Linked DNA regions of Mus musculus: regions 2, 3, 4, 5, 6 and 7 are each reported to be linked to region 1. Evidence: microRNA targets listed by miRTarBase, many of them from high-throughput screens and not tested one by one. Region 1 holds a microRNA gene; each other region holds the end of a gene's coding sequence.

Region 1 (3,081 bases):
TTAGTTTCTATATGTGCACAGTTTAAGCAGGCACAGTCAACTGACTATGAAAGCAGAGACAACAGGAGAGAAGACGAGTCCAGGGCTGGAGACTGGATACCACTGACTTCTGCTTCTACACGTGGAGCAGATATATACAGTATCCTTGAGGCAGAAGGAGACAGACACTCTCATCCAGGGATATAGCTGACAGAGAAGAGACATCCACCCCCATACACACATCTCATCCCATCGTCTCTAACATCTGCATACTTGCACTTCACAGCTCACAAGTCTAACCTTCCCAGGTAACTGGCCCATTTGGGTCTGGTGTACCTTCAATCTCTCTTTTTTTATTTTCTTAAAAGAAACATTTGAGAGCTGAGCATCTAAGATGGCTTTGGATTCACACCCACTGTCTGTGGAACAGCTTGAGGCTGACAAGATTAGCTCGCTGGAACGCTCTGGGATCCGTTCAGCCTAAGCTGCTGCCCACACACCAGCCTTGCTCACAGAAGCTGCTTTCCGCAAGCAGCAGCCCGCTTCACCTCCTCCATCCTGGCTCGTGGAACTGGTCCTTGATGTCCTACCTGGTCTTGAGGACAGTGGCTTCCAGCCTCAACCAGTCCTCATTCCCAGATTCCAGGATGTGACCATGGTGATGTCTCAGCCTCTCCAGAGGAGTCCGAAGGGTGATACTTCTGTCCTTCCTCCTCCCATGTCTAATCACCTGATTTTACAGAACCCAGCATAGCGAGCAGTGCTGCAAGCTTCCTTCCCCTCCCTCGGCTCTCTTCTTCTGTCCCTTCTTTCTGTAATATCCAAGGGGACCAGACAGAGTGGGCCTTGATAACACACATTCCCTTGGCTCCAGAGCAGTAGCTTCTAAAACCTGTAAATAAGACAGCTCTATGCCCCTGTGTAGACATACACCCCAAGGATAGGCTGGCTCCCTGGTACCTGTCCAGAGTTGAGAGTTCAAAAGACAGACCAGTGGATAGAAATGCTATCATGCCCACCCACCCCCACCCCGCCAAGCAAGGCCTGCTGGCTCATGTACCTGGCCAGACATTACATGAGCAACGGGCAGTAATTGTTGTCTAATCTCTTCCCAGAGGTTTCAACTAGTTCCAAACTGTTGTGGCTAATAAAAACAGAGAAGATTTGCAAGAAATTCCAGGTGCATCGGAACACTTTGGGGGATTGTGCAGCCTGCAGGCAGACGAAACTTAACTCAAATAAACATAAGGTAATATGTGTTGGCAAAAGTAACCTGAAGTGGGAGTATACAACTGTACGTTTCAAATTGGCTGCTGCCTGTAAGGATGGAGATTGGTAGTAGCTCAGAATGGATGAAGTGGGCAGAGTAGCCAATGTGCATCCCAGAATAACCGAGGCAAATCAGATCTCATCTCACACAGACCCCATCAGTGGCCCAAGATGGAGCACATGACAGATTCCGCAGTCCCACTTTCTACTTTAAGGATGAGGAGACATCGTGGAGTGGCCTCCAGATTTAGGGGTCTCCTGTGAGCCAGGAATGTGTGGTCATGTTCTCAATGGAGCGAGTAAAAGAAAGTGTCTGTTTTTGTTCATTGAAGTCATTGACTCCAAGCCCTGGAAGCTGCCATGTTACCTCCATCTGCTGCCTAACTCTCAGGGCCACATTTAGATAAAGAGCCGAACTTCTGAACTGCAACAGCCCTGGACTTCAGTCAATTCCCTACTTTCTTACAGAAAAGAAAATATTGAAAAGCTGTATTATGGTGTCTTATATGAATGTGCTAGTTTCCAGGATGGGAGGGGCTGTATATTCACCTATATTCACACACATATACATGTGTGCATGTGATATACATTCATGTACACCCTCCTATAGAAATAAGTGTATGTGTGTGTGTGCATGCATATGTGTATATGTGTATGTATGTGTGTGCATATACACATGGGTGTGCATGTGCATGAGTGCATGTACGTGTATATGCATGTTCTCTATTGATATGTGTGTGTGTGTGTGTGTGTGTGTGTGTGTGTGTGCAGGTGTGTATATACATATATATGTGTGTGTGTGTGTGTGTGTGTACATGTACATGTGAGTATGTGTGTGTATATGTTTGTACATGTGCATGTGTGTGAGTATGTGAATATATGTGTATATGTGTGCATGTGCATGTGTGTGTATGGTGAGTAGGTGTTACTAATTGTGACTCCGATGGCTGTGTCTCCATCTGGCCTAGGTGACAGGTAAGCAACTGCACTGATCTTTCACAGGTAGCAGCAGCCTTATAGGGCAGGAGAAGACTGGCACCTCTGCACTGGCCGTGACCTTACCTGCAAGCCCCCGAGGAACAGGAGCTTTTTTACTCCTCCATCTTCTGGCTTCCCAAGCAGGTGCTGATATCTTGACAGGGAAGGGGAAATGCTCTGTCCTGGCCCTCTTGCCTCACAGAACTAAAAGCTAAACATGGCTTCAACTACCTCAGCGGCTTTCTTCTCCCACAACCACATGCAGTAGAGAGGCCCAGCGCTGCAGAATACATCTGTGATAGGAGAGGAGAGCTTGGATCTGGAATGTTCTAGAAAGTGATGGAATAATTTGAAATCCAAACTGTCTAAAGGCTGAAGAAGAAAGGAAGCCATTGCCACCTGCAGGAAGCAGCCAGGTCCTTTTGACCTCTCAAAGTTCTTGGCTGTGAGGTTCCATCATTCAGCTGATAAAACAGAGGAACAAATGTTACACAGGGAAGTTCACAGGAAAAGGGTCAGTACAGAGTGTGCAGAGCTTCTGGTGGTATAAAAGCCAGTCACTGAAAACTAGGGACATGTCCTCAGTCCTTGAGACCTGAAGTCATCTCTTCTCTTCTAAGCATCCATTATACCCAGGATTCCACAGCCCTAGGCCTTCTGGAAACAAACTTCATTTCCCCAAAAATTGTCTGCTACCCTAATGCCACCGGAACAAGTTTTTTAGCTCTTGGGTTATAGCTCAATGATGAAACACTTGCCCAGCATATACAAGACCCCAGATTCCACCTCCAACAACAACACAAAGCACGCCAGTACATCTCAGCCTGTGCAGAGGCTCAAATTTCGAAGGAAATA
Region 2 (3,081 bases), not on the chromosome of region 1:
GCTTTGTGAGCTGAGCCATGAGCACGTTGATGTTCCCTAAGAACAGGGCACAGTCAGTCTAAGCCGTGCCTTAGCCATTGAAGGCCTGGCTCTGTCCTCATCTCCTGGTGCCTTCTAGTATTTAAATCCTTAAAATACTTGATGAATCTTGCCTTGTAGTTCTTGATACAAGTGTCATCTACACAACAACCAGTCAGGAAGGATACATCCCTTATGTTTTGTTTGTTTTGTTTTGTTTTGTTTTCAGACAGGATCTCATTACATTGCCTTGGCTCATCCAGAACGCAGAAACCATCTCTCTCTGCCTCCCTGAAGCTGGGATTAAGGATGTGAGAGAGACACCACCACCAACTGTTCCTCTCCTTTGGAGATGCCAAGGGCAGGCTCTGAGTCCACTTGTCCAATGCATATGCAAATGAGTGAGTTGTAAATGTCTACTTTTCTGCCTGGTTTCTACCGGATTCCGAAGGGATTGCTTTGCACAGAGCTGACTTTATCGTAAATATGTGTATTAAAGTGGGCGAGTTTTCTCATTCTCATCACATTGACTCTAGAACGACTCCAATCCCCGGAGACTAAGGCCTGCTTGCAAGGTTGCCCCCCCCCTTTTTTTTTTTTGCTTGATTCATCAGAACACAAGCAAGAGAATGCATCCTAGCTCAAGAAGGGAGGCTGTTCTGAGCAGCTGCAGAAAGAGGTTGGAGGCTGGGCTGCTCAATTTAACCAAAATGCCTAGTCAGCAGAATAACTCTGTTTCCATTCCTCTCGAGCCAAGGGCCCAAGAGCTCTCTCTGATTCACCCAGCTTTTCTCAAGCAGAGCACTCATTAACTAGATCGCTGAAAATCACTTCCTCCTGTGTCTTCTCTGGCTAATTCTAACAGTGTTCGAGAAATAAATATCTCAAGGAGAAGCAGCAGCCCGTGCGTGAGCCTTGAAGACACCCCCTCTTACATTCTTTGCTTCTGTTCCTCCCTGACTCCAAACTTCTCTTAAATAGAGGTTAAGTTGTAAGATGTGTATTAACACAGTCACCAAAAAGAAAAAAACAGTGAAAACTCGTGAACTGACAGGCATGGGGACATCTGTCTGAACCCTGGTGCAGGCGCTAACCTCAGAGGCAAGAGCCAAAGTGTGAAGCCCTTTCCAGAGGCAGCAGGAACACCTTCAGGAAGCTCAGTAGCCTCAGGTCGGCAAGGTAAGCAACAGCCTTTTCTCCTCCGGTTCTTTTTCCTGGGAGAATGAGAGGCTCAGCAACCATTCTTCCCTTTGATGAAAGCCAAACTAGGATGACAAGAGTAACTCCCAGGGCTGTGACCCCTGTCCTGATAGTTTTAGCACGTGAAACAAAACAAGACAGAACCCCACGCAGCACGAACCACCATCACATTGCTCGAGGTCAACAACAACAACAAGTCACTGTCCCTTTCCGTCTCTGTAGGGGAAGGGAATTTCCTCCCAGGGATTCAGACCTAGATATACAAATCCACAACTGTCTACATCCCAGGAATACCAAGGAAAACTTTGTACACAACTCAAGCCATTGTTACACCATCCCACTACGACTCCCTGTACCACTCAGAATACGTTTAAACAAAACCAAAACTCATACCGTCCCCACTACCCTTATCCCTAGAACACAGTTCCTAGAAAACCTAACTTGTACATTTCGCACTGAGCATGCTGTCTTCAAAGACCCTGCACACGTACACACACGGACACAAAAACACAGACAAGAGAAAGCTCTGTTCAAGGGGATAGTTTTTCCTTCTGTGTGGGCCTTGATTACTTGGGTAACAAAGTTCACTCTTTAGCTCTGTAACCTGATCTCTCAGCTGTGTGTGTGTGTGTGTGTGTGTGTGTAGCATGTGTGCATGTGTGTGCATATGCATCCATGTGGTTGTGTGTGGTATGTGCATGTTGAACGTGTGTGTGTGTGTGTGTGTGTGTGTGTGTGTGTACAGGATGAGGGACTATGAACTGGGAGTGAAAGCTCACTCTATACTTTTCAGAGGGAGGAGTGAGAGGCATGTGATCACAGGGGAAGAGAGAAGAGGAAGAGAGGAGGCAGACCCACATGAGAGTGTCTGGCCCCTTGCTCTCAAGCTCCGAATGCCTGATCACCATCTCTTTCCTGTTTCTTCCTTTCATCTTAGCCCAGTACTTCATGGAGTCACCCATTCTGTAGAATTTGATGTAGATCTTGGAGCCAAACAAATTTAGGAAACATTACATGAATAGAAATTGACTGTGGGGGTTCTCAGAGCCCTTGATATACTAACAGCCGCTTTCACTTTCTCTCTGTGTAGAGTAAATACTTGGGAACTGGTACCACATGGACCCCAACCAGTGAGAATGGACCTCAGCTATCACTGCTGGTTCCCTTGAGAGTAGGTTCAGCATGAATAGCCTCACACATACATACTTTGCACCATTTCCCACAATTTTGCCCAGAGAACTCTGTTTTCCCACGTTGTCTCACAGAAATGGTGAGAAATACTCTGGCCCTCAGGGTACAGGAGAGGGCCAGCTCTGGCAGTGGCTGCTGGTAGCACCGGCTGACAGATATGACCATGGCTACAGAAGAGACAGATTTCAAAAGGCAGCTGTCCTTCTGTCCCAGCTGCTCCCAGGACTCTGTCCCTGGTGGGTCAGCAGGTGCCTATCTAGGTGGTGCTTGCGGCCAAAGCTCTTCTCACAGCGAGGGCAATGGAAGGGCTTCTCCCCGGTGTGGGTCAGCCAGTGTCTCACCAGGTGGTGCCTCCGGCCAAAGCTCTTCCCACATTCAGTGCACACATGGCACTTTGGCACGGGAGGCACGCAGTGCTGAGCCGCAGGACTCTCTCCAAAGTCTTGGCCCTTGCAGGACTTGCTGTCTGCGTGCACTCTCTGGTGGCTGGCCAGGTGCGAGCTGCATCGGAAACTCTTGCCGCACTCAGAGCACCTGCTTGGCTTGTCATGCAGATGGGTTTTCTGGTGCCTGATCAGGTGGTGCCTTCGCCCAAAGCTTTTCTCACACTTGAGGCAGCTGTAGGGCCTCTCTCCAGTGTGGGTTTGCTGATGTCGGGCAAGGTGGGAGCCC
Region 3 (3,081 bases), not on the chromosome of region 1:
CCACTCCCCGGGAGACCCGCCCTCCGCGTCCACTGCGAACGCGCTACTTCCGGTCCCCTGACCTCTCCCTCCCACCCCACAGAGGCTGAGGACACGCGAGTGCCCGGTGCGCTCCTGTATGCAGTGACAGCCTGCGCAGTCCTACTGTGCGCGCTGGCGCTCGGAGTGACGTGCAGGAGGTGGGGCGACGGCGGGGGCTGAGGCAGGGGGATGGCCGGGATGGAGAGAGTGAGGCAGGGGGATGGCCACTGTGAACTCTGCCCTGCCCTGCCCTGCCCTCTCCCTCAGGTTCGAGGTGACGCGCCGACTCTTCCCGCCCATCCCAGGGATCAGGGACAAGGTGTCCGACGACGTGCGAGTGAACCCTGAGGTCAAAAGTCACAAGCGCTCGTGGTGGGGGTGGGGCGCGAGGCTTGTCCCCTGTAACCCAAGGCGTGACCTCTGACCCCCGTCCACCCCCCCCCCCCAGACCCTCAGGAAGGACCTCCTGCAGCCCTAGACGTCCCGCCCCCAACGTGACTGACAGGAAGGACTTAAACTTCATGACATCAACTGATGTCATGAAGCGATGCTGATAGACGTCATCGTGACCGCTCCCCACCCCCACGTCTGGTGTGACTGGACCCCTGTTGCCCTGTTCATCAATCACCAAAGTGGGCGTGTCCAGTCTCATCCTGTCAATCACCCTGGAAGGGCATGTTTAACGACATTGATGTCACCGTGATATCACAGTCCAACCAAATCCTCCTCTATAGCCCCGCCCACCCCGACAGGAAGCACAGGTGACTGGGAAGCCTGCCACTGTCAATCAAGGCCGCCCATCCCAAAAAAATCAGTACTCGTGGCCATCCTCCTGCCTCAGTTCCAGGGATGGCAGGGACAGCGTGCATATCCCCACCGTAATAGTTTGCTCAGTTCTTAACAAACCCTAACCCTTAATATTTTACCTTAACAGCCAGCACACACACACACACACACACACACACACACACACACACAGACACAAACTGTCATAAAATCCAACGTGCCTTCATGATCAAAGTTCGATAGTCAGTAGTACTAGAAGAATCATATGTCTGTAAAATAAAAGCCAGAACATTTTCTGCTTTTGTTTTCTTTTGCCCCAGATAGGGTTTCTCTTGGTGTAGCCCCGGCATCCCTGCCTGGAACTTTCAGTGTAGGCCTGGGTAGCCTCAAACTCACAGAGGTCCTCTCTGCCTGCCTGCCTGCCTCTGCCACCCACACAGCCCGGCCGAAGCTAGGATCTTTTTTTCTTATTATTACTTATTTATTATTACTATTAGTTTTCAATGTAAATGTGTGTGTGTGTGTGCGTGCTCTATCTGCTGCCTTATATGACTGCATGCCAGAAGAGGGCACCAGAACCTAGGAGAAGCTACCATGCAGGTCCTGAGAATTAAAAAAAATAAAAGAAAAGAAAAAAGGAAATTCTAATTACATAGAAGGTAGATATCTGCCCAGCTGTCAGAGTGCTGTTTAAGGCTTACTGTAAATAATAAAAATTGTGTGTCTCTTATCCAAAAACAGAAGGGAGGTAGTGCACCTGCATGTCTGTTGTCTGCATGTCTACTTCCTTGTTCTGTCACTCGGTTGCACATTGACCTCACAAAGATGAAAGGCGACAGACATGTGGATGGCAGCCATCTTGTCCTCTGACTAATCTCCCTCATCAAGATGGAGGTGGCTGGCTGTCCTGAGACGTATTGTTCCAGGTCACTTCTGTTTCTCCCCCTTCTTTTCCAGCTACTAGTGGAACAGAACTTAACTGAATCAAAAAAAAAAAAAAAAAACCAAAAAACTGAGCACATAGACAGTACCATTTACCATAAATAAAACAAAAGCAAAATCCATCAAAGTCCATAGTTCTGAGAAGGTCCCTAAATATACTGAAAGACTCCGAGAGGAGCCCCTCGCTCAGTCCTTGGGACAATATCGGACACCCAAGAACTCACGAGAGACCAAGCTTGATGCAAACCACATGAGGCTTTATTTGGGGAAAGCCAGAGCTCTGGGGACGACTCATATCCCACGCAGGGGTAGAGGAGTCAACCTCAAGGGGAAAGAGGTCCCAGTTTTTATAGGCCCTCAGGGGGGAAAGGAGTAGGGGGTTGTAGGGGATTTCCAGATCTAAACAATGTCTATTCTCAAGAAATGGGTATGGGAGGGGTACAAGGAAAGAGTCTGGTGCAGGTGTAGCAACTCCGGATTGACCTGGCTGTGGTTGCTGGGGAGATTCTCTGACTCTTTCCCAGCAGCCAATATCACAAACACCTGGCAATGGGCTTCATCAGTGGGCACACACATGGGTTCAAGGAACGGTCAAAAACATTGGCAGACACACGGGTTCAAGGAGTGGCCAGAGCATTGTGCACCTCTATTTTTCTAAGTCAGTGAAGCTAGTTCTGCTAGCAATGAAATCTATCTTGCCAATTTCAGGGTTTCTGTGACCTTTTATATTCTGTCAGGATCTTTCAGTACTAACCAGGATTTTTGGCTATTGTACTTCTGCTTCTGGCTAACTGTTCTTACCATTTGAAGTATGTCAACCTAGAATATGGCTTTGGTATTTAAAACTCACCCTGAGGGCTAGAGAGATGGCTCAGCGGTTAAGAGCACTGACTGCTCTTCCAGACTTCCTGAGTTCAATTCCCAGCAACCACATGGTGGCTCACAACCATCTGTAATAAGATCTGATGCCCTCTTCTGGTGTGTCTGAAGACAGCTACAGTGTATTCACATAAATAAAATTAATAAATAAATCTTTTTAAAAAAACTCACCCTGAGAAAGGTTTGGTGCAACCCTGGGATCCCTAACACCAAGCACTACTGCCTGCTGGCTAATAGAGATATTCTATTGGTTTAAACCCATGTCCTAGGAGTCCTCTCTCATGGACATCCCCATAACACTGCTGCCTGTAATGCTGTGGATTTCTCCTGTTTTAGTTATTTAACTGGCAGAGAAAATGAATACAATCTAGACCCTAGACCCAAACCATAGTCTTTTGTACAAGGCTAAGTGCAAATGTTCATTTGAGGGGTGTATGTTCTCATGGGAAGCCA
Region 4 (3,081 bases), not on the chromosome of region 1:
AGCTTCCCAAAGACTATTACTAATGGAGTGCATTTTCTCTTCCGTTTATTTTTCTGCCCTCAAGTCTGCTCATAAGCAGTGGGGGTGGGGCCGTTTGTCTTCTCTATGACGTATGTGAAAGCAATGCTGTGGTGACGCTGGATATCATGATTGATGCAGGAGACATGGAGAGAGCTGAGAGAGCCTTCTCCATGGGGTGTGGCTGTCACAGACCCCGCTCAAAGTGTAAGCCCTGAGATCCCTAACGGTCTGCTTTTTCCTGTTCACAGCAAACCTTCTGGCTCAGAACCAACGCCAAAGTCCCGCATCGCAGACCTCCCTCCTGCCAACCCCGATCACATCGGTGGCTACAGACTTGCCACGGCCACTTTCGCTGGCATTGAAAACAAGTTTGGCCTTTACCTCCCCAAGTTTAAGTCTCCTAGCGTAGCTGTGGCTCAGCCCAAGGCGGCAGCAGCAGCCCAATGACATAGCAAGTACAGACCGAGGCCCAGGAGAACGGGCGGTACCGTGTCCAGTCAGCTGCATGGTACTGTCAGCGCTGGGGTCAACCACTTTCTATACGACCTATACATGTATTGTTTATAAAGTGATCATACGCCCAGGGAGAGCCGCAGTGCAGTTTCAAGCTTTAGTCTTTACGTGTTGAAATGTTTTCTGAGCCTTGGCATGAATTACGTGTTCTAGACTCTGCTTCGCACAGCTTGTACCTACAGTGACTGTACATATTGTACATCTTTGTACAGAGACACCTCGGCACCTCATCCCAACAAATCACGTTTATAAACATGAAACGCTGTTCTGAGTGGCTTGAACTGTACAGAAGGTTTTGAAAGTGTTTTATTATGAATCATGTAAGAATAAATGTACTAAAGTTAAATTCATTCTCCTCCTGATGACTTATGGAAATCAAGCAGCCATGTTTGAATGTATCCAGTTTCAGTTTGTTTTCCATTCGCGACTAGGAAGGTATTTGCTGATACAAGGCAGAGCGAAACTTAATGCTCACCACATTAAATAAGAAACGCGTGGGAAGGGTGCTTGCCCGTGGATGCCAGAGGATGAGCCGGTGACTCACGGGCTGCTGTGTTTCCAGTCGTTTGTAGCTGAGTGTAATCCTCCTGTCAGCTGGAAGCAGCTCCTCATGCGCGCGCGCACACACACACACACACACACACACACACACACACACACACACACACACACGAACGGGATGGGCTCCAGCAAGGCTCGCTTAGTTCTGCTTTTCTCCTATGCAGCAAGGTCAAGGTCAGGATGTTGCAAGAGTAAAGTTTGGAAGTTTCCCTTCGTAAAGTATGATACGAATCAAAAATAAAAGCACACCAAAATGTCTGCATGGAGTTGGTTTCCTTCCTAGGTCTCCTCTCGGGGCTTTTTTGTCTGCACTCGCCTGCTCCTAGGGGATGCATATTTTGTTACAGAAGGAACTCGGGTGGAGTGAGGGAGGGAAGCGGGGAGGTTCCTACATGGTGATTTTGTGAGCCTGGGTCCTTGCTAGGAGTTCAGATGGAGATGACTTCCTCAGAAGGTCTCTCTCTCTCTCTCTCTCTCTCTCGTGTGTGTGTGCACACACACACACATGCCCATATTTACTCTTTAACAATTGCTTCTGACCTACAGCCACATTTACTGTGGCTGTTACTTGATAGCTGGCAACATCAGGACTTACTAACTTTAGCGAATAGCTCTGGGAAAGCACGGCTGTGGCCATGGCTGTGAGGATATATGCAGATATCATTAGAGGTGAACCTGGAGATGGCCCAAGTCACCAAGTGCCCCTCACAGTGCTCACCAGTTGGTGGCTGACAACCCTGTATCTGCAACTCTGAGCTTTCTTGAAACCCTAAGAACAAAAGATATTTGAAAGCTGGCTATTTCTAAATGTGTTGGATTAGTCCCATTAGAACTGAACACACAGCATAATTAATTGTTCTTGCTATGCTTGTTAAAATTATACAAGTAGTTCAAGGACATGAAATTACATGTGTGTCTGTGTGTGTGTGTCTGTGTGTGTGTGTGTGTGTGTGTGTGTAAGACGATGACAAAGTGCCCTCGCTACCTCCTCTTCAACCAGCATTCCTGTCATCCTTTGCTGAGAGGTTAGAGCATAAATTTGTGATCTGTTTTCCATACATCTCCATATGTACATATTTATATATTTAGAACCAGGGCTATGCAATGTATGTGTGATTCCGTGACTTGGTTTTCTTAGTATGTCCCTGAGCTCTTTCCACATCAGTTTATAGAAAGTGTATCCTGTTTCTAGTAGCTGTGTATTATTTCACTGTATGGATTATGAAGCCTTTTTAAAATAGTCATTTCATTATTATTAACAACACTGTAGTTAGAGGAGAATATCTCTGTGTGTGTGTCATGATATGTTATTGTATATTAGTATTTGTTAGGGACTAATTCATAAAATAGACGGGTTTTTTATTTTGTATACATCTCGCCACATTGCTGTTCACAGAGGTCTCAATCTCCTGCCCCATGGGCAAGTTAAGATTGCCCGGTTCACAGGCAGATCATAAACAGAGGTCACTGTTGCAGTTTTTATTTTTCTAATTGCTAATGGGCTTGAATGAATGTCTTTTTATTGTTTGTTTGTTTTTTGAGACAGGGTCTCACTCTTGCAACCTCAGAGTCTGGGAACTCCCTATGTGGATCAGGCTAGCCTTGAACCTGTGGTAACCTTTGGTCTCCCCAATAAGGTGCTGGAATTGTAGGTGTGGGCAGAACATTCGCTGTCTTTTCATTTTTACTGGTCATCTGTACATTTTCTTTTTGTAAAATATACAGAAGGCATATGAAGTATCTAAGGCATAGACACAGAAAAGTGCATACAGGTTAAAATAGTACTCATGCGATGACCAGGTCAAGAAATACAACATTCTCAACCAGCCAGAAGTACCCGTGCACTTCTCCCCAGTCTTTACCCCATCCCCTTACCATGTCTTCATTTCTGCTTGGTTTTCCTGCTCACATATACATCCTTAAATACTGTGGTCCTCTTCCCCCTTTTTGAGACAAGATCTACCGTGGTCCAGGCTGGCCTCTTGG
Region 5 (3,081 bases), not on the chromosome of region 1:
AAGGCCCAGACCTTGGAGTTGGAGCGGCGCTTTCGGCAGCAGCGCTACCTGTCGGCGCCGGAGCGGGAACAGCTGGCTCGACTCCTGCGCCTCACGCCCACGCAGGTCAAGATCTGGTTCCAGAACCACCGCTACAAGCTGAAGCGAGGGCGAGCGCCTGGGATCACAGAGCCTTCGGATATGGCAGCATCATCTGATCTGCACGCCGCTCCCGGCCTGCTGCGCCGCGTAGTGGTACCCGTGCTGGTTCACGACCGGCCACCGAGCAACAACGGCAGAGGTGAGGGGACCTCTGCGGTGCCCCAGGACAAGTGCAGCGCACGCCTGGCCACTGCGTGTCCGGTGCCAGGCTACACCGCCTTCGGACCGGGCTCGGCGCTTGGCCTCTTCCCAGCCTACCAGCACTTAGCACCACCAGCTCTGGTCTCCTGGAACTGGTGAGGCTGCTGCGGAGTGCCTAAAGCCACCCTAGACTTGGGACATTGCTGTTTGGTCCGCCGCAGTAGAGCTACAGCCACACCAAAGTCAGGAGGTGACCCTTGCAGGAGCCCTTCTTGAGTCCTGGGTCCCTGGATTGCCCTAACCGGCAAACACACACACACACACACACACACACACACACACACACACACACACACACACAAGGGACTGTCTCCAAGACTCGGAATGGTTGCCCGGGCGCCAGTCCCAGAGCAAGATTTTATTTCTTGAGCATTATTTGTATATTTTAAAATAGCGACTTGTATGAAGCAACTTATTTTTAAAAAAGAAATAGAGTGTTTTCCCCTTGACTTGTTGCGCTAGATTATACTGTGGAGGGTTGGGTCGCTGGCGCTCCTACCACTAAAGGGATGGAAACTGGTTTCCCTTGGCTGGAGGTGGAAAGACCATTTACACTGAGACCCATCCCCGGTTTATACTGTAGGTCAGAATAAAGTCCCAACAAGACTTTGGGAGGAAAGGGAGTAGGAGAGGCAACGGAGGCGATCTGGGTAGCTCTGCAGAGTGAAGCTGGAGATTCTTTAGTCTCTGGCTCCAAGACTGAAAGCTTATCCTGCCCCTCGAGCAGGGTCCTGACTCAAGGCTGTTTCCAGGACTTGAGGATTGAGGAGCTTGGAAGCAAGGAACTTGGAACATACAGTTAATGCCATGAGCGCTTCAATGTGCTGTTTCCTGCCTCCTCTACCCGGCAGTGGTGGGACTGGAGAGGGAGGGCATTGAAGAAATAAAAAGGGCCACAGAATGACCTGCCCAGGGCACTGTTTCCAGGCTACCCTAGGGAAAGAGGGTAATGCTAGGATTGCTATGCTGGGGTGCGATCGGCTAGTAAGAGTCCAGTCAGCAGTGCACACACGGAATGATCTCCTTTCCATTCCAGGCCTTGGTTTGCCCCTGTTCTTTTCCTGGGTATATAGTGAGGGAGGAAATCCAGGGCAGGCAGTCGCTGTCTCTGAAGCTGTGACCTTATCTCTGGAAACCCATTTCAGAAAGAGGAGAGGAGAGAGGTGTCCAGTTGGTCCAGGAACAGGGACAAGGCCCCTGATGAGGTCTGAAGAGAAAGCATTAGGCTTGGTAAAGGTCCTCGATTTCTTGTCCAAAGAAGAAGAGGAGGAGGAGGAAGAGGAGGAGGAGAAGGCATCAAGGTTGTCACCTGGAATGGGGGTGTGTGGATGGTACATTTGGGTCTCAGCTGCCTGTCACCTTGTCTTCCATATGGATGTGGCTATCTCAGAAGAATCTCCATCCTTAAACCTCCTTTTGTGCTGGATACTGAAAAAGGCATTGTCAGGCCTAAAAAGGACCTAGACAAAATCCTCACTGTTTCAATTCAGAACTCTGTTTAATCAGTCCCTGGAGACAATGTAGTGGGTGTTAGGCAGGACAATAGTATCTTTTTAAACCTTGTGGCCTTCAGGAAGACAAAGGGCTTGAATTTTATGGGCTTACAACTTCAATTAGAATAGTGCCAATGTGCATGGGAGATTATCAAATTTGTATCATAAAACCCCTTTCTAACAAATGATTGGTAGGGAGGGAGCCCCAACATTGTAAGACATATACTGGGACCTGTAGGAGCTTCTCTGTTAGATTTGGCCGAGCAGATGTGAAAGAAAAAGAGGAAGGGATTTCTAAGGAAGGCCTGGGTTGGGATTTGTAGCTGGCTGTGAGCTTGGCTCTTCCATGCTCTTCCTGCATGAATGGGAGAAAGTTTAGAAGAGACCTATTCAGCAGATCTTGGACCCTGTGGAGTGGGAAGGGTCTATAAATGTGAAATCTGAAGAAAAAAGGGATGGGGTCTGTAGGGAGGCTGATTTAACAAGGGTGAGGGGAAAGTGTACTCACATCCAGATTCATCATGGTCCTAAATGGTGAGCCAAATTTGAGTCACAGCAGGATGGACCCAGTGAGCCAACTGTGCTCTGGACAGGAAGGGGACAGTGGCACCAGCAGGCATGATATACAAACTGTTAGTCTTTTATATTCTTTTGTCATTGGCCAGAAAGTCCTTTCTTCAGAAATAAAAGACCCCATGGAAAGAGAAAAATGCATCCACATCTCAAGGTTTCATTTTAGAGACTCGGGTTGACATCTATGCTCTTCTGTCCATACCTATGATCAAATAGAAAAGTGCTCATTTCCTCTGTGGCTCAAAAGCTGAATCCAAGTCTTTTCTGCCAACAGCTGTGAAGATAGTCAGGGGCTCCCTCTCCACAGGGTCTCCCTCCCCAGAGCAAGTGTCTGATCCTGCCATCCACCTTGGACATGACAGGATAGATTCACACTCAAAAAGCTTGCAGTGAAATTTGTTGTGTTTCCAGGTACATTCATAGCTGATCTCACAGAAACCTTACACACACATAAACACACACACACACACACACACACACACACACACACACACACACACACAGGGAGAGAGAGAGAGGGAGAGGGACAGGGAGAGGGAGAAAGAGGGGGGGCCTAGCGGATCTTGTTTTACAGACAAGAAACTGGCACAAAGTAATTATAAACCTCAAAGGATGTTACTATTGTCCTTAGTTTGCCTCATATTTAGCCACCCTCCAAGCTTCCCCTAAGTAG
Region 6 (3,081 bases), not on the chromosome of region 1:
GGCAAGAGTTTCTCCCGGAGCTCCAACCGCATCCGGCACGAGCGCATCCACCTGGAAGAGAAGCACTACCAATGCGCCAAGTGTCAGGAGAGCTTCCGGCGGCGCTCGGACCTCACCACGCACCAGCAAGATCACCTGGGCCAGCGGCCCTACCGCTGTGACATTTGTGGCAAGAGCTTCACTCAGAGCTCCACGCTGGCTGTACATCACCGGACCCACCTGGAGCCAGCCCCTTACATCTGCTGTGAGTGTGGGAAGAGCTTTAGCAACAGCTCCAGCTTTGGGGTGCACCACCGTACCCACACGGGTGAGAGGCCTTACGAGTGCACTGAATGCGGGCGGACTTTCAGTGATATCTCCAACTTTGGTGCACACCAGAGAACGCACAGAGGGGAGAAGCCGTACAGGTGCACCCTGTGTGGGAAACACTTCTCCCGGAGCTCCAACCTCATCCGACACCAGAAAACACACTTGGGCGAGCAAGATGAGAAGGATTTTAGCTAAAGGAGAGGCCTGCTTGGAGAGTGAGGGAGAGCATAGAGCCCACCTTGATGGGTGGAGGAGGCCTTTAGTACCTGCTGTGGCCTCCAAGACTACAAACCCTTCACTTTGCGGAACAGCCCCTTCTTGCCTTTGCAGTCAGGAAATCCTGAGAAGGGGCTGAGTAAACACCCTGCCTCTTCCCAGCAGGTTTTTTTTTTTTTTTTTTTTTTTTTTGCCTTGGAAATTCAGAGTGCCCACTCTTCATTTCCTCAGCTGTGGGGGAAATGGGATGGGCTCAGGACATGCTCTTGTGACTGGGTCATCAGTCATCAGTCCCCAGGCTTTGGGGGTAGTGCCTGAGACGGTGTCGTTGTCTACAGGTCCTCCAAAGTTGTCTAGCTTCACACACACACACACACACACACACACACACACACACACACACACACGGCAGTAGCCTGTGAGTTCCTACCTGCTGTGCCTCATCCTGTGTCAGCCTCTAGAGCCTCAGGCTGGGGAGGGGGGGGGGGCATGGCCCTCCTGGTGACCGGCCTCTTCAGTCTGAGAAGGAAGCCTCAGGGATCCACAATCCAGGGACCCTCACCCTCCCATGCTTGTTACCTGGTTTTCTTACCCCGACTTGTGTCTGTCTCCTCAGTGGTCACCAGTAAAACACTTCAGTGAAAAGAACCTGTGTACTTATTTGGGGATGTGGGGCACCGGGGAGAGTATTCCAGGGCAGCCATTCTGCAAAGGCGTGGAGTTGAATTCTGAGAAGGTGGTGGTTCCTCTGAGATGTGAAGGACAGCGGGGCCGAGCCTCTGGAGCCTTTGAAGAGGAGGGGGAGGGAAATGGTCACCTGAATGAACATCCACACGGTAGGCTGCTGGGTGTACACGCCATTCTTTATCTCATTCGGTTGCCACAGAAACCCTCCAGGGCAGAAGATGAAAGTCAAGCAGTGGGGTGCGGTGGGACCAGTGTAGACCTGGCTTCTTCAGCTCATCCGATGCTTTCTGCATATACTTTGCTGGCCTCTGAAGGAAGCTGGCCTAGAGGTGGGTGCTATGTGTGGCCTCTTGATAACAGCCTTGACCTCTTTGCTCTTGGAAGTCACATCACAATCAGAACCTTTCAAACTGGAGACTATTAGTTGAACCCTCTTGTGACTAGGGGAAATGGCAATGACAGGGAGTAGGGGGTTGGGGGTGGGGTGATATAAAAATTCTTAAAACCGGATGATAACGTTTCATTAATAGCAGTAGATTCGTCCCTAGGGCTCGGACAGTAAGGTTTCCTGTCCTCATTTAGGCCTGGCTTCACCAGTCAGTTTCTCACTTGGAAATTTATCGTTCACCCAGCTTTCCTTTCTTACCTCTTCCGTCAACCTGGGGTCCTGCCTCCCTGCGTAAGGAGTGCTCTTCAGTTGTGCCCAGTTACCAGAATGTTATTCTGGTACCAGAGTTAACAAGGGTATGGCCCGTGGCTTGACCCTGCCACTCAGCCTGAGTAGGATACACCAGGAACTTGATATGCGTGAACTCTCGCAGGTACCTTGAGAGGTAAAAGTGGATCCACACTTCACAGATATGGAAACAGGCTGCTGGAGACAGTGGCTTGTCCAAGATCACGGAGGCCATTGATGCCATGACTGCAAATGGAATCTGCTGCCCAGTGCTCAGGAATTTGATTTAAACTATAGAAGACTGGGATGGCAAGATGGTTCAGTGGATAAAGGGGCTTGCTGCCAAGCCTGACGGCCTGAGTTTGATTCCTAGGACCCACATGTTAGAAGGAGAGAGATGATTCCCATAAGTTTCCCTCTGACCTCATGCATACTGTGGCACATGTGGACACACACACAATAAGGAAATGTAACATAATAAATGGAAACTGTAGGAGACTGCTCAAATGACTCCCTTGCGTATGGAGAGTGTTTTACAGTTTGCAAAGCACTTGTATACATCTCTTCCTTCCCTTCTCTCTTTCCTCTCCTTTTTTCCTTTTTCTTTTCCCTCCCATTTCTTTTCTTGAATTGTGTGACCAGGCTTAACTTTACCTTAAGACTTGTAGCCCAGCATATGCTACACATTTAATCCCAGCATTTGAGAGGCAGAGTCAGGTAGATCTCTGGGTTCAAGACCAGCCTGATCTATATATCAAGATCCAGGACAACCAGGGATACATGGAGTGACCCTGTCTCAAGAAACAGAATGTACATGCCTGGCACCTGAGCAAAAACCTTAGGCATATAATTCAGCATAAATTAAATACCAGTTGGCCACTGAAGACAATCATAAGCATGTTGCTGTAGTGCCAGAAAGCCTGAAGAACTGAATGAACACCAGGGGGCGCAAGAGACCGTGAACTCCTAAAACCTCATATGAGAGACATGAGATCTAGAGCACGTGGGAGGCCAAGGCAGGCGAATCTTTTGAGTTTGAGGCCCTCTGGTCTACATAGTGAGTTCAAGAACAGCCAGAGATATGTAGAGATATCTTGTCTCAAAAACAAACAAACAACAACAACAAAACCCCAGTGACATCTCCCTCTAAATCATCGGAAGACACCCCTCTCCCGGAATGGGGTGGGCTGGCT
Region 7 (3,081 bases), not on the chromosome of region 1:
TCCCTAGCCCTGCATAAAGGAGGAGTGGTGAGGCAGGCCTGTAAGCCCAGCACTCAGGAGGTAGAAGCAGGAGGATCAGTAGTTCAAGGTCATCTTCATCTATAGTGACTTTGAGGTCAACCTAGGCATATTAAACCCTGTCTCAAAAGGGGAAGATGGGGAGAGAGATAGGAGTTTGGGGAAAAAAATGTTCAGAGAAGTTTTATTAGTGCAGTGCCTAGTATCTTGACAGTTGTTCCCAGCCAAGGAAATGGGGTGTGTTCCCAGAAAAGCCCGTGGAGTCACTTTTCCTTCTGTGAATGCCCATTAAAAACCTATGAACCATACCCTGACAGGAAGAGGGTATTTATGGGCGCTGGCGGGCTATGTGGCTGCACATATCTGTTGTTGTTCAACGGAGTTACCACAAACCTAGTATCTCTTAAAACAGCACCCATGTACTATCTGCTTCAGTGTGCCAGTTGCCTGGCATGGCCCAGGGACCTCTGCTTGGTGTTCAAAGCTGCAGCCAAGGCAGTTGGGGCTATGGTCCTTCTGAGGCTCCCCCGAGGACTGATTCTTGTCAGCTTTCTGTTGCGGTGACAAAATATCTCAGAAAACAATCTAAAGATACTAACAACTTTGGCAGTCCCTGCACATGGCCATTTGACAATTGTTTTTTGGGAGGGGGGAGCAAAGGGGACTGTCTGGTGCAAAACTGCTCTGTGCATGGCAGCCATGAGTCAAGGATTGCTGAAGGGGCCAGGCCCAGACATACCTTTGAAGGACCCCCCCACCCCCCCAAAGAACTGCTTTCTTTAAACAGGCTCCACCTCCTAAGGTTTCTACCACTTCCTCATATTTCATCAAAGTATGAGTTTGTCAACGGTTTAATCATTCATGCTCCAGCTCATCTGCTGGTTCCCTACCTCCAAACACTGATGCCCTGGGGACCAAACCTTCAAAACATTAGCCATTCGGGGACCCTTTGTACCCTGTTCTCCACTGTTAGGCTGCTGGCAGAATCCAGTTCTCTGTGGCTACCGGCAGAACTAGAGTTGTTTCCTTCTGGCTGTGTTAGCTGCTGGCTACCTTTAGGTCCAAAAGGCCACCTCTATTTCCTTGCAGTGTTGGACTCTGGTGGTTAAGTCCTCAAAGCCAGCAAGCGGCGAAGATTCAAGTTGAGATGTGAACTAGTCCAATAGGAGCTGATAACCACACACAAGACTACGCACACCACATTCATTCAGTGACTTCTTGATTGGAAGCAAGGCACAGGACCTACACACACTCAAGGAGAAGGGCTCTCTAAACTAGCAGGAAAATCTGTCATCTTACCTGGCATTGGCCGTACAGAGTGCATATCTAAAGAGAGGCGACCCTATGAATGTCCAGAGCAGTGCAAAGCCTCCCACAGGTCTTCGGTTTCACGGAGATGGATGGGAAGGTTGACTCACAGCAATGACTATGGACTTGTTCCCTTAAATTCTATCTCAGTGGCCTTGGGATCTGGGTTCATAACACGCAATCCAAATGTCTGTAGTTTCCAACATTAGCACATAGGAAACAGGTATGATGTTCCTGAAAGACCCTGGCCAGAGGCGGCTCTTGTCTTCTCAGCATGCAGCCTGTCTCTTATGGGGTCAAGAGGATGCACCTTGAGCACACCATAGTTATTCTTTCTCCTAGAGCCCACTGGGGTGTAGTATGTGTTGGTTCCCTGCCAAGAAAGAACCCTTACTGCTCTTCCCTCCCTAGAGCTGCTCCATAGAGAAGGTGTAGGACAATGGCTGCTGGGTAGAGCCAGGACTATGTTAGCTCCCCTGCCTTTCACCCGCTCTCTTAGCCTTTCCACACCACGTCGTTCACTATTCTAGCAATGCTCTGGGTTGTGACAGGGCAAGGGGTTGGGAGAATGTGAAACCTACCTATGACCCCTGAGTATCCAAGGAAGCCATTCCCAAGAACCAGCCTCTGAGATTAGGTAAATTGTCAGTTTCTCCCAACAGAGAGTGGCCCTATGTGGCCAAATGAAAATGTTAAGTGCATTTTAGAAGAGTTTTAATTTCAACAACTTATGATTAAAAATACATTTTATAAATAATTTTTTTCCATAGACTTGATTGAGGAGGGTTGTAAACTCTACAAAAAGACAGACTGCAACAGCAAAGGATTAAAGAAATTACAAAAAAATATAGCTATCGCCTCCCTAGGTAAAAATACATTATACATTACACAGCATTTCCTTTGTGCAAAAAGTTTGAGCAGGTGCTGTGTTAGGTAAGTCAAACATTTGCTGAAAGGGAAGTAAACTTTAATAAAGTTACTTTGCATAATAATAGAGGCACAGGTGAAAAAATTAATTCCCCTCCCCCAGAAGTTAATGTACCTTAGTTCAACATTTTATTTTATAGTACTGAAGGCTGAATTTGGTCTTGTACAAATGTGTGCGCATGTATGAGTGTGTGTGTGTGTGTGTGTGTGTGTGTGTGTGTATGGGTGGGTGCACTCGCATGCGCATGTGTGTATATCTGCTGTGATATTGAGTAAAAACCCCAAATATTTACAGTATTGTTAAAGGTGGTGTTCTCTCCATCTATATGTGTATATTGTCTCATTAAATAGCTCTTTAGAAAATTAAATTAAACCACCATCTTGTCAATCAGTGGATATCCTCAGTTGAGACTTCCAGTTTGCGCTGTGGGACAAAGAGGGTTCCGAAGGAGGTTTTGTTAGCACCATCGAAATCTGTGTAGGGTGAGCTGGTAGGCTTAGTTGGTCCACCCGGAGTACGGAAGAAATTTTCAGCCACCAACTGGGAGCCTTTGGGTGTCACAGGAACAGGCTGATTGGAGAGAAATGAGGGGAAAATGTATCAGAACCCTGGTAAACCATGCTCCCCAGAAGACTCAAGACCCAGCTAAATGATATCTGGATTGCTGGGAGACTAATATATCCTAGGTGGGCAAGGTGAGCCTCAGCGCATTCCTTTGAACTCTCAATTACTTTGCTAAGAAACAAAACCTTATGACAACCTAGTAATATGGATTCCTTGGCCATTCTTCTTGGGTCTGGAAGGAAGGGTTGCCCTCAGTCATTCAC

The links. The annotated mature microRNA mmu-miR-466i-5p reads UGUGUGUGUGUGUGUGUGUG and lies in region 1 at 2,039-2,058, shown strand. An mRNA with a match to its seed (bases 2 to 7 or 8) in the 3' UTR can be bound and repressed. Matches are read on the target gene's strand: a 7mer-m8 pairs with bases 2 to 8, a 7mer-A1 pairs with bases 2 to 7 and ends in A, and an 8mer does both.
Region 2: miRTarBase lists Zfp641 as a target of mmu-miR-466i-5p. Seed matches in the 3' UTR shown: 7mer-A1 at 1,953-1,959, 8mer at 1,951-1,958, 8mer at 1,949-1,956, 8mer at 1,947-1,954, 8mer at 1,945-1,952, 8mer at 1,943-1,950 and 22 more.
Region 3: the mRNA of Csf2ra is a reported target of mmu-miR-466i-5p. Seed matches in the 3' UTR shown: 8mer at 960-967, 8mer at 962-969, 8mer at 964-971, 8mer at 966-973, 8mer at 968-975, 8mer at 970-977 and 11 more.
Region 4: the mRNA of Slc25a12 is a reported target of mmu-miR-466i-5p. Seed matches in the 3' UTR shown: 8mer at 1,156-1,163, 8mer at 1,158-1,165, 8mer at 1,160-1,167, 8mer at 1,162-1,169, 8mer at 1,164-1,171, 8mer at 1,166-1,173 and 17 more.
Region 5: miRTarBase lists Nkx2-9 as a target of mmu-miR-466i-5p. Seed matches in the 3' UTR shown: 7mer-A1 at 591-597, 8mer at 592-599, 8mer at 594-601, 8mer at 596-603, 8mer at 598-605, 8mer at 600-607 and 18 more.
Region 6: the mRNA of Zfp691 is a reported target of mmu-miR-466i-5p. Seed matches in the 3' UTR shown: 8mer at 886-893, 8mer at 888-895, 8mer at 890-897, 8mer at 892-899, 8mer at 894-901, 8mer at 896-903 and 15 more.
Region 7: miRTarBase lists E2f8 as a target of mmu-miR-466i-5p. Seed matches in the 3' UTR shown: 7mer-A1 at 2,500-2,506, 7mer-A1 at 2,468-2,474, 8mer at 2,466-2,473, 8mer at 2,464-2,471, 8mer at 2,462-2,469, 8mer at 2,460-2,467 and 10 more.

What each region holds. Positions count from the first base shown.
Region 1 is chr3:85,465,344-85,468,424 of GRCm38, forward strand. Mir466k (microRNA 466k) reads left to right here and starts at 2,034; the gene lies at 2,034-2,155. All of the region lies in intron 1 of Gm31419 (a long non-coding RNA gene), which reads right to left.
Region 2 is chr15:98,285,878-98,288,958 of GRCm38, forward strand. It overlaps Zfp641 (zinc finger protein 641), which reads right to left. Exons shown (of 6, transcript NM_173769.4): 6 at 245-3,081. The coding sequence ends at 2,595. Gm33967 (a long non-coding RNA gene) reads left to right here. Exons shown (of 4, transcript XR_001781762.2): 3 at 248-1,197. Among named protein-coding and RNA genes, the nearest start is that of Zfp641, 8.7 kb to the right of the region's middle.
Region 3 is chr19:61,222,422-61,225,502 of GRCm38, reverse strand. Csf2ra (colony stimulating factor 2 receptor, alpha, low-affinity (granulocyte-macrophage)) reads left to right here. Exons shown (of 12, transcript NM_009970.2): 10 at 83-179; 11 at 289-370; 12 at 470-1,101. The coding sequence ends at 499. Among named protein-coding and RNA genes, the nearest start is that of Csf2ra, 4.5 kb to the left of the region's middle.
Region 4 is chr2:71,272,542-71,275,622 of GRCm38, reverse strand. It overlaps Slc25a12 (solute carrier family 25 (mitochondrial carrier, Aralar), member 12), which reads left to right. Exons shown (of 18, transcript NM_172436.4): 18 at 270-1,353. The coding sequence ends at 468. Among named protein-coding and RNA genes, the nearest start is that of Dync1i2, 62 kb to the right of the region's middle.
Region 5 is chr12:56,609,080-56,612,160 of GRCm38, reverse strand. Nkx2-9 (NK2 homeobox 9) reads left to right here. Exons shown (of 2, transcript NM_008701.2): 2 at 1-768. The coding sequence ends at 441. All of the region lies in intron 3 of Gm26973 (a long non-coding RNA gene), which reads right to left. Among named protein-coding and RNA genes, the nearest start is that of Nkx2-9, 2.7 kb to the left of the region's middle.
Region 6 is chr4:119,167,605-119,170,685 of GRCm38, reverse strand. It overlaps Zfp691 (zinc finger protein 691), which reads left to right. Exons shown (of 2, transcript NM_001145936.1): 2 at 1-1,170. The coding sequence ends at 504. Among named protein-coding and RNA genes, the nearest start is that of Zfp691, 5.0 kb to the left of the region's middle.
Region 7 is chr7:48,864,406-48,867,486 of GRCm38, forward strand. E2f8 (E2F transcription factor 8) reads right to left here. Exons shown (of 13, transcript NM_001013368.5): 13 at 2,024-2,824. The coding sequence ends at 2,642. Among named protein-coding and RNA genes, the nearest start is that of E2f8, 15 kb to the right of the region's middle.